2 linked regions of the Caenorhabditis elegans genome follow. The protein of the gene in region 1 purifies or fractionates together with the protein of each later gene. This does not show direct contact. Each region holds a gene or a part of one and is shown in the gene's direction. Other genes may lie near its edges. The genes, in order: mys-1 and trr-1.

What was found.
Region 2: the proteins of mys-1 (region 1) and trr-1 purify together in Caenorhabditis elegans (affinity purification with western blotting, with the first as the bait; one study listed by BioGRID). This does not show direct contact.

Annotation. Positions count from the first base shown.
Region 1 is NC_003283.11:7,080,779-7,086,645, reverse strand, and holds mys-1 (Histone acetyltransferase Tip60 homolog), read left to right. Parts: upstream 1-1,983; 5' UTR 1,984-1,992; coding exon 1,993-2,131; intron 2,132-2,176; coding exon 2,177-2,354; intron 2,355-2,417; coding exon 2,418-2,763; intron 2,764-3,277; coding exon 3,278-3,973; intron 3,974-4,870; coding exon 4,871-4,888; 3' UTR 4,889-5,101; downstream 5,102-5,867. Other genes in the region: VC5.2 (Laminin EGF-like domain-containing protein), read right to left, coding at 192-614; npa-1 (Polyprotein allergen nematode domain-containing protein), read right to left, coding at 5,192-5,284, 5,680-5,867. UniProt on the Caenorhabditis elegans protein: Probable catalytic subunit of the Tip60 chromatin-remodeling complex. Plays a role in acetylation of nucleosomal histone H4 and perhaps also H2A, probably acting as a component of the Tip60 histone acetyltransferase complex.
Region 2 is NC_003280.10:11,672,707-11,677,816, reverse strand, and holds the start of trr-1 (Transcription-associated protein 1), read left to right. Parts: upstream 1-1,889; 5' UTR 1,890-1,960; coding exon 1,961-2,098; intron 2,099-2,145; coding exon 2,146-2,931; intron 2,932-2,985; coding exon 2,986-3,284; intron 3,285-3,329; coding exon 3,330-3,453; intron 3,454-3,497; coding exon 3,498-4,616; intron 4,617-4,661; coding exon 4,662-5,048; intron 5,049-5,109; coding exon 5,110-5,110. Other genes in the region: C47D12.2 (Dymeclin), read right to left, coding at 1-406, 469-710, 758-845, 904-1,112, 1,169-1,315, 1,365-1,507.

The DNA of each region.
Region 1 (5,867 bases):
AAAATGTATAGCTTTTTCATCGGATCATTTCTGGAATTAGCACATTTTATTTATAGTAAATTAATTACAATTCAATTACACAATTTTTGAAATTTTTTCATCCATTTCCCATAAAAAATATTATAAAACAACATAAGTTGTTATATAGAATTTTAATCGTTAAAATTAAAATTGAAACTTCAATAACTCACCCCTTTTTCCACGATATCCGGCCGTTTTGTTTTCTCCAAAAGCATATGCAACTGATAAATTTGCTCGTTATCAAGAAGGTCTCCAAGATCATTCTTTGTAGTTAAACTTTCAGATTTCACGAAATCATTAAATTGTTCAATATCATAAGAGCAAGAGTCAAGGCAGTCAATACTTTCCGGGTATATATCTGCAGCTAATTGTGTAGATGCTTCTCGAAATTCATCAAACTTTGAGTTCATTAAAAAATGATCTAACGTATTTGAAACTTTTTTATCTAGTTTTGATCTCCATAATGTGCACTGATCAAGACGATTTACCAAATTGAAGCGGAATGTAACAATATCCTTTTCAGATAAAGGTGAATGAATAAATTCAAATTGTGGGATTATTATAGTAACAATTAGTATAAAATATAGTGACATGATAGAGTATGGGTCAAACCGTCTTCTCTAATTGAAAATGGAAAATAGTAGAAGTAAACGGAGACGGCGGTAAACCTGAAACGACGATCAATTACTTTCTGTGATCGAAAGAGAAAAGAAATGACGAAAAAGATATATAGATTACAAAGAAGGTCGTATTCTTTCACGAGTGTTATGATAATCATAATGATCGGAAAATGGGAAGAAGAAGAAGGAAGAATAATAAGAAAAAGAGGAAAAATAAACGAGGAAGAGGCTCTCTTATCAATCTTGTTCGAACAGGTGTTTTGATGTGACGCGTTCAATCAGTTCAATGATTTTCAACTCTTCGTCTCTTCATCTCATCCTGTCACTTGTCGCTTTTTGATATTTGATTTTTTGTTTTCGGATTTTTTGTGTGCTTCGTAGTTGCTCCGATGATGCCGGATTCAACATTTGAATGTAACATTTGAATTTTGAAATTGAAGGAATTCATTTGAATCTAAAGCTTGCAGGGTCAAGACCGATACATTCTTGCAACACATGACTCGAAAGTATGTAGGAAAAATTGAAGTTGGAAACTTGGAATTTGATGAAAAAGTACAGTAATCCATTCTCTCTTATTTCGCAACTTTCTTCGATTTTTGATTTTTCCTAGATTTTTTAAGCTAAAATTTTGCTGTTTTATTTTCATTTTTCATGCTTTTCAATTTCGGTTTTCAACAAAATTATGTTTTTCAGAGAAAATCTCGTGAACAATAACTCGGCTACTGTACCATTTAAAGGCGCACACCTTTTCGCGCAGCATTGATTTAAATTTTTTTGTTCGTGGCTCAACAGTGCAATGGACATCTAGATATCTGAAATTTTACCACTGAATTCAGTTCATTTTTTAAGCATCTTCAAAAATTTGCGTTTTCCTAATTTTCTTGTGATCGTTTTTTTTTTGAAAGTACAATCGTACATTATAAATAACTATTTTTCAATTCGAATAATTTAATTCAAGATCATTTCGCAAAATAATTGCCTTGAAACGTTATGCCGCGGTCAATTTTCAACCACCCTTGTTATTCTTTTTTGAATTGCCGCCCTTTTTCCCTGTGGCCGGCGCAGTGCGGCCGAGGTTGGTTTCTAGGCCAGCCGGCGCGTTTTATTTTTTTCGAGCATGATTTCACAATTATTTCTTGCATTTTTAAAGTTTTTTATTGATAAAATAGTAAAACTAACAACGGATAATATTATTTTAAAATTAAAAAACTAGTTTGTTCATTTTTGGATCGATTTTTAGATGTTGTTCATGGATTATGCACGCAAGAAAGTACTATCGTTCACATTTGATTGCTATATTATTGAATATTGAATTTTTCACACAAAATTGTACTATTTCCAGATATTTATCATGACCGAGCCGAAGAAGGAGATTATAGAGGACGAAAATCATGGAATATCCAAGAAAATACCAACAGATCCCAGGCAATACGAGAAAGTTACAGAGGGATGCCGGTTATTGGTCATGATGGCTTCACAAGAAGAAGAAAGTTAGTTTTTACATCTATTTAAACACATTTTCCAATTATTTTCAGGATGGGCCGAAGTTATTTCAAGATGCCGAGCTGCAAATGGTTCAATTAAATTCTATGTCCATTATATCGATTGCAACCGAAGACTTGACGAATGGGTTCAGTCTGATAGGCTCAATTTAGCGTCGTGTGAGCTACCAAAAAAAGGAGGAAAGAAAGGAGCACACTTGCGGGAAGAAAAGTGAGAAATCTATAAACTTTTCAAAAGATTTTAAATAGTTTTATCAATTCATAATTATTTCAGTCGAGATTCGAATGAAAATGAAGGAAAGAAAAGCGGCCGAAAACGAAAGATTCCACTACTTCCGATGGATGATCTCAAGGCGGAATCCGTAGATCCATTACAAGCAATTTCAACGATGACCAGCGGATCTACTCCAAGTCTTCGAGGTTCCATGTCGATGGTCGGCCATAGTGAAGATGCAATGACAAGGATCCGAAATGTCGAATGCATTGAACTAGGAAGATCACGAATTCAGCCATGGTACTTTGCACCTTATCCACAACAATTGACAAGTTTGGATTGTATTTATATTTGCGAATTTTGTCTGAAATATCTAAAGTCGAAAACTTGTCTGAAACGGCACATGGTGAGTGTTTCGAGTTATAGAAAATGACCGAATATAAATAACTGTTTTCAAAATTCAAAAATTTTCAATTTTCCAAAAATGAAAGAATCGGTGAATTCGAAAAAATTCGAGTTCTTGTGTGTTTTTGGCTGAATTTTTCGGTTTTTCTTGCTTTTTCCGTTGATATTAGTTTTGAAACAATGTTTTTAAAATTTTCCGGCATCGAAAAAAATCGCAAATTCTGGGAATTTGCTCCAAAAATTGCATTTTTGAAATACTTTTTTGCGAAAACGAAAAAAAAATTCACAAACGGTGTTTCAAACCAAATTTATCGTAATCAAAAAAGTTTCGCAAATAGGCCATTATTCTGCGTGGGAATTCAAATTAAAATCAGCTACTTTTTCTATTTTGCAAAATGGAAAAAAAACGTAAAAAATAGACAAATTTTTAATTTTTTAAACAATTACATTCGGTCCATACTCTTCATTTTCTATCATTTAATTAAAATGCCCAATTCTAATTAATTTTATTTCAGGAAAAATGTGCAATGTGTCACCCACCTGGCAATCAAATCTACAGTCACGATAAACTTTCATTTTTTGAAATCGACGGCCGCAAAAACAAAAGCTATGCTCAGAATCTATGCCTGCTTGCCAAACTTTTTCTGGATCACAAGACTCTTTACTATGACACGGATCCATTTTTGTTCTATGTGCTAACCGAAGAAGACGAGAAGGGTCATCATATAGTTGGATACTTTTCAAAAGAAAAAGAATCAGCTGAAGAATATAATGTTGCGTGTATTCTTGTGTTACCTCCATTTCAAAAGAAAGGATACGGAAGTTTGCTCATCGAATTCAGCTATGAACTCTCGAAAATTGAACAGAAGACAGGATCACCCGAAAAACCACTATCAGATTTGGGACTTCTCTCATATCGATCGTACTGGTCAATGGCCATCATGAAAGAGCTTTTCGCATTCAAAAGACGACATCCAGGCGAAGATATCACAGTTCAGGACATTTCACAAAGTACATCGATTAAACGAGAAGATGTTGTGTCAACGTTACAGCAACTTGATCTATACAAATACTATAAGGGATCATACATAATTGTGATTAGTGATGAAAAGCGTCAAGTTTATGAGAAACGGATTGAGGCTGCGAAAAAGAAGACACGAATTAATCCAGCAGCTCTGCAATGGCGACCCAAAGAGTACGGAAAGAAAAGAGTGAGTTTTTTTCAATCAAAAATTCGTGTTTACGGCTAAAAACTGAAAATTAAAATTAAATTAAATTCGTGATAACATTTTTTTTTCAAAAAACCAAAAAAAAACAATTTCGTTTTTGGCAGAACCAAAAAAAAAATTTAAAAAAAAACGGTTTACGCCCTATTTCATACAAACAACAGAAATTGCACTTTTTTGAGCAAATTTGACCCTACAATTTTTTTCCAGTTTTTTGCTCTTTTTCAAAAAAAAACACCTAAACACTGGAAATACTAAATACTAAGGAAAAAAATGGAAATACTGGTTTACAGTGTCAAAAAATTGAAATTTTCTAATAAAATCATTTTTCTTTTTACTAAATTTATCAAAAATTTATAACTCAAATCTTTCAGTTTTTGCGAATTTTTTTTCGAAAAAACGAAAAAAAATAAACCTAATTTTAACCAAATTGTAATTTTGAAAAATCTGGAACGTCCGGAAAACTGAAAAATTAAAAAAAAAACTTTTCAGAAATTTATTTTTAAAAAACCGTTTTTTTAAATCAAATTTTGTATATGTTGATGAGAAAAAAAAATAGAAATCAATGTTTTTAAGTTTTAAAAGAAAAATTTATTTTAATTATTTTAGTTTTAATAAGGTATTTAAACAGTAACAAGGATGTCGGTTTTTCGATTTTCCGAAAAACTAAAAAATTGTCTTTTTCGATTTTTTAATCGAAAAAAAATAGAAATATTTTCACAAAACATACTATTCTTCTAAAAAAAAGAATAGTGGCAGATTTTAAATAATTTTTGAACTCTCGCAATTTTTTTCGAAATATCCAAAAATCGAAAAACCGGCACAAAAGCAAAAAGTCTCCGGGAATATATCTTTAAATTATTTTATGAACTTTTTTTTCAGGCGCAGATCATGTTCTAGCAACAACGACATGTGTTCTCGCCACGACGATCTCAACCTGTACATTAAAATATAACACTCCGTTTTATCTCGCATCTACACACCGAAAAGCTTACGCTATCCCTTTATCATTCCCACACCGCTCAGAGAGCGTACGCCTCATTTCATTTCATTTGTTCTGTGTAATAATTTGACTTATTAGTCACTTATTTTTTTAATGAAATTATTCTTGAATTTCATAATCTTCTTGTTGCAGTTCAAATAATTAAAATTCATCATATAGACAAGTAAGTTTATAACTGCAAAAGTGAAGTTTTCTAATCATTAAGCGTTCTGAAGATATTCGGCAACCGCCTGAGCGATCAGATCACGGCGGGAACGAGTTGAGGCGTAGACATGCTTGCAGCCAGTGACAACCTGAAAGATATTCAAAAAATTAATTTCAGGACTCGAATTTTTAACAATCTGAATAAAAAAATCCAAAATTGTATATTATAGAGTTTTTTGAAATCTAAGCGAAAGCGCGCTCCAATGTAAAACGAAAAGTGCTCCGCCCCTAAACGTTGGGTCCCGTTAGGAATTTGTTATTTTTTCGGTTATTTCTGACTATATTATAATTTCGAAACGACAAGTATTTTAAACATCATTTCGACATAAAAAATATGTAAAACAACAAAAAACAATCGAAAAAATAGTGAAAAAGTTTGAATTTACAGTCTCGCCGCCTCCTACCGAGACCTAACGTTAGGAGGCGGAGCGTTTTCCTTTGGCATTGAAGCGCGCTTGCTGCGGCCCCATAATTAATAACTTACAGCCTTTGCAAAGTCCTTCTTCTGTTCATCCTCAATCTCGTCAATGTATTGATTGGACAACTTCTCAATCTCGGACTGTTCCGCATTTTCATCCTTCAATTTTTTGTATTGAGCCTTGAATTGAGCCACCTTCTCCTCTCCGAAAGCCTTAACCGAATACTCCTTACAAGCTTCTTTCAACTTGCCCT
Region 2 (5,110 bases), on another chromosome or scaffold:
TTGTTCGATGTCGCGACACCGTCGTGAAGAATTCGAAGAACAGGAACAACTAGATTCTCGAGGTTGATCCGAGACAACACATAGTTCCGGAATCCCGAGTTCGCCTGTAGAAGCATGTAGAGTAGAAGCATCGGAGGTTCCTGGCCAGCGGTAGCACACAATCTTTCGTATAATCCATTATAATCGATTTTGAACGACACAATCTGAGTAGGCAATGTGGATACTTCTTGAGCATTTTGGAAGAGAGCAAGGGTTTCTTTGAATGGATTGGATGAATTGAGAGGTTGATGGCATGAAAGATTGAGGAGAAGCAGGATGCTTAAGTTTCCAAGAGTAAGTGGGGGCTTCTTTTCTTCCTCTGCGGAGTCGATACCAGTTGCCATTTGGACCATTGACCACATTGATGCTTAAAAATCGTGTTTTTTTTTTAATTTAATAAAGAATTAAAAAAGATTTTCAGTGACATACAAGCTAATCCAAAAACAATGCTCTCTTGTGGCTTTTGTACAGTCATGTGATACTCTGAATTGTGGATCAAATAATTGAGAAGAAGAGTTTTAGTGAGCGAAGCTGCGTGTTTCGCACATGATCCATCAATAAAGAATCTGAAGACAATTGAAGTATTCACAATTGATTCATTATATAGTTGAGAGCTCAGGAGAGTTAGGAGACATCGAACTGCTTCGACATGGATTGCCAATGTTGTTTCGCTGAAATTATTTTAATTCAATTTTTTAAAAAATAATTTAAAACTCACTTTACAGAAATATTGATTAAAATCGAAACCAGCTCATACGTGAACTCTTCTGCAGTGTTTTGAAAAACTATCGGGATATATTTTGTCGCTGAAAACGTCAGAATTTGATTATTATTGAATTTTTTTTTTAAATGAAGCTTATTTACCTCCATTATTATTTTCGTTTTCTGATTTCTGTTCGTCATCATCTTCCTCATCCGACGAGGAAGATGTAGACGACGATTCGGTTTCCGTACTCTCATGACTTTTGGCGAAAATCCTCACGAATTCTTTTTCCGTCATACGTTGAGTTAAAAATCTGGCGATGTAACGAAGAATGAGAAGAGCGTTTGATGTTTGCCATAAGTAGATTTTACTGAAATAAGAAAAAGCTTTAATTAAATATAATGATGATTTTTTTTTCCAACTCACTTTTCGCATTGTTCTGATGTTTTTAGTTCTGTGGCTCTGCGAAGGAAAAGTCGAATAAATGCAGCGAAATTTCCTGTTGTTTGTGTATTGTACATTAGACATTGAAGATGATCATCTAAAGCAGATTCCAAAGCGATTCGGGTGTCTCTAAACGATTATAACATTTTTAAAGCTTTTGCCTAATTTTAATCCTTACTCGTCGTCATCATCAAACTTGAGACTGAAAGAGAGAAGTTTGTTCCAAAATGGGTCATAATCGTCGACAGGTTCCAAACCGCTGAGTTTCTTCAGATAAATATTCTCCTGTAAGACCGTTTCCTTGGTTATAACTGATCCCATGTGTCTGAAATTTGTTATTACACTGTTAATAATCATAAAAATAAAAGAAAAAGTCAAGAAAGGGTCAAATATTAATCAGGTCACATCTTTTTTATTCAATAAAATCTCCTCTCTCGTTCGTGGCAATGCACGTGAAATGCGCCAACAACCGCGAGTGCGCCAACACACACACATACGCGTCAGCAGACAATTCGCTCTCGTTTGAAATTTAGTTGTTTCTTTGTTTCTGCTGAAATAATGTCAGTTTTCCGATAATTTCAGCGTTTTCTGACTGATTTTTCTTGTTGCATTCACTTCCTAATAGTTCATTCTACTCCATTCTTCATTTTATAATCTGTTTCCTTCGCAATTTAGTGAATTAAACACGTAAATCTTGTTTCAGATAAATTATTCAAATAGTTGCACAAAGCTCAATAGTTTAGAAGTATCTTCAGTGCTGGTCACTAATACAAAATGGATCCGGCTATGGCTTCTCCAGGCTATCGGTCTGTGCAGTCCGATCGGAGTAATCACCTAACAGAGCTGGAAACGAGAATTCAAAATCTTGCCGATAATTCACAAAGAGATGATGTCAAATTGAAAATGTTACAAGTTAGTTTCAATAATTCGTGTTAAGTAATCAATTTGTTCGGTTGCAGGAGATTTGGAGCACAATCGAAAATCATTTCACACTAAGTTCGCACGAGAAAGTCGTGGAGAGGCTCATTCTCTCGTTCCTACAAGTTTTCTGCAACACAAGTCCACAGTTCATTGCTGAAAACAATACACAACAGCTTCGAAAGTTAATGCTTGAAATCATTCTTCGACTTTCGAACGTAGAAGCCATGAAACATCATAGCAAAGAAATTATCAAGCAGATGATGAGGCTAATCACCGTGGAAAATGAGGAGAATGCCAATTTGGCTATCAAAATTGTCACCGATCAAGGGAGAAGTACCGGCAAAATGCAATATTGCGGAGAGGTTTCACAGATAATGGTCTCCTTCAAAACAATGGTCATTGATCTGACGGCGAGTGGTCGAGCTGGTGATATGTTCAACATAAAAGAGCATAAAGCTCCACCGTCAACTAGCTCCGACGAGCAAGTCATCACTGAATATTTGAAGACTTGCTACTATCAACAAACGGTTCTTCTCAACGGAACGGAAGGAAAACCGCCATTAAAATACAATATGATTCCATCAGCTCATCAGTCAACGAAGGTGCTCCTGGAGGTTCCGTATCTCGTGATTTTCTTCTATCAACATTTCAAAACAGCGATCCAAACCGAAGCGCTTGATTTCATGAGGCTTGGTCTTGATTTTCTAAATGTCAGAGTTCCAGACGAGGATAAACTCAAAACAAATCAAATAATAACCGATGATTTTGTCAGTGCACAGTCCCGATTCCTGTCATTCGTCAACATTATGGCTAAGATTCCAGCGGTAAGTTTCGTTTTTTCAAGTTTTTTTTCTGTAATCCTGATTTTTATTTTTCAGTTTATGGATCTTATCATGCAAAATGGACCGCTTCTAGTGTCGGGAACAATGCAGATGCTCGAGCGGTGCCCGGCTGATCTGATAAGTGTCCGACGAGAAGTTCTGATGGCTTTGAAGTATTTCACATCTGGAGAAATGAAGTCGAAATTCTTTCCAATGCTACCTCGACTCATCGCTGAGGAGGTTGTTCTGGGAACAGGATTCACTGCGATTGAGCATTTGCGAGTTTTCATGTATCAAATGCTAGCAGATCTGTTGCATCACATGCGAAATTCTATAGACTATGAAATGATCACACAGTAAGTTTGAATAAGACTTTCTGATGAAAAATGTTGAAATTTCAGCGTGATTTTCGTATTCTGTCGCACTCTTCACGATCCTAACAACTCTTCTCAAGTCCAGATTATGTCTGCTCGGCTGCTCAACTCACTGGCCGAATCTCTGTGCAAAATGGATTCACATGATACCGTAAGACTTATTCTATCAATAATCGTATCTCACTTCGAAATAAGTTTCAGACTCGTGATCTGCTCATTGAAATCCTGGAGTCGCACGTGGCCAAGCTCAAAACTCTTGCAGTCTATCACATGCCTATTCTCTTCCAACAATACGGAACCGAAATAGACTACGAATACAAAAGTTATGAGAGAGACGCCGAGAAACCTGGAATGAATATCCCAAAGGACACTATACGAGGAGTACCGAAACGAAGAATCCGTCGGCTCTCCATTGATTCAGTTGAAGAGCTGGAATTCCTGGCATCAGAACCATCCACGTCGGAAGATGCAGATGAGAGTGGTGGAGATCCGAACAAGCTTCCTCCGCCAACAAAAGAGGGAAAGAAAACGTCTCCCGAAGCGATTTTAACCGCCATGTCAACGATGACACCTCCTCCATTGGCAATTGTTGAAGCTCGAAATCTTGTGAAGTATATAATGCATACGTGTAAATTCGTGACAGGACAATTGAGAATCGCCCGGCCATCACAGGATATGTATCATTGTTCGAAGGAGCGAGATTTATTCGAACGTCTTCTACGATATGGTGTAATGTGTATGGATGTATTCGTGCTTCCAACAACTCGAAATCAACCACAAATGCATTCTTCAATGCGGACAAAAGATGAGAAAGATGCTCTGGAGTCGTTGGCAAACGTTTTTACAACAATCGACCATGCGATATTCCGGGAAATCTTCGAAAAGTATATGGATTTCTTGATTGAAAGAATTTACAATCGGAACTATCCATTGCAATTGATGGTGAACACCTTCTTGGTTCGAAATGAAGTGCCATTCTTCGCATCTACGATGCTTTCATTCTTGATGTCTCGAATGAAATTGCTGGAAGTTAGCAATGACAAGACGATGCTATATGTGAAGCTCTTCAAAATTATCTTCTCCGCCATCGGAGCCAATGGCTCTGGGCTTCATGGAGATAAAATGCTCACTTCATACCTCCCAGAGATTCTCAAACAGTCAACTGTCTTGGCATTAACAGCTCGTGAACCTCTCAACTATTTCCTTTTGCTTCGTGCATTGTTCCGCAGTATTGGTGGTGGCGCTCAGGATATTTTGTATGGAAAGTTCCTGCAGTTACTGCCAAATCTTCTTCAATTCTTGAATAAATTGACGGTGAGTTTCATTTTTTGATATATCGGTAATACACTAAAAATCCAGAATCTTCAGTCATGTCAACATCGGATTCAAATGCGTGAGCTCTTCGTCGAGTTGTGTTTGACTGTGCCAGTTCGACTCAGTTCCCTTCTGCCATACCTACCGCTTCTGATGGATCCACTGGTGTGTGCGATGAATGGGAGTCCGAACATAGTTACACAAGGATTGAGAACATTGGAATTATGTGTGGATAACTTGCAACCTGAATATCTTCTCGAAAATATGCTTCCTGTCCGTGGAGCTTTGATGCAAGGCCTCTGGCGTGTTGTATCGAAAGCTCCAGATACATCATCGATGACAGCAGCGTTCAGGATCCTCGGAAAGTTCGGAGGAGCCAATCGAAAACTTCTGAATCAACCGCAAATTCTTCAAGTAGCCACTTTAGGCGACGTAAGTTTATTTAGTTTATTCTCTTCCTCGTTTTAAGTTCTAACATTGATCCTATTAACAGA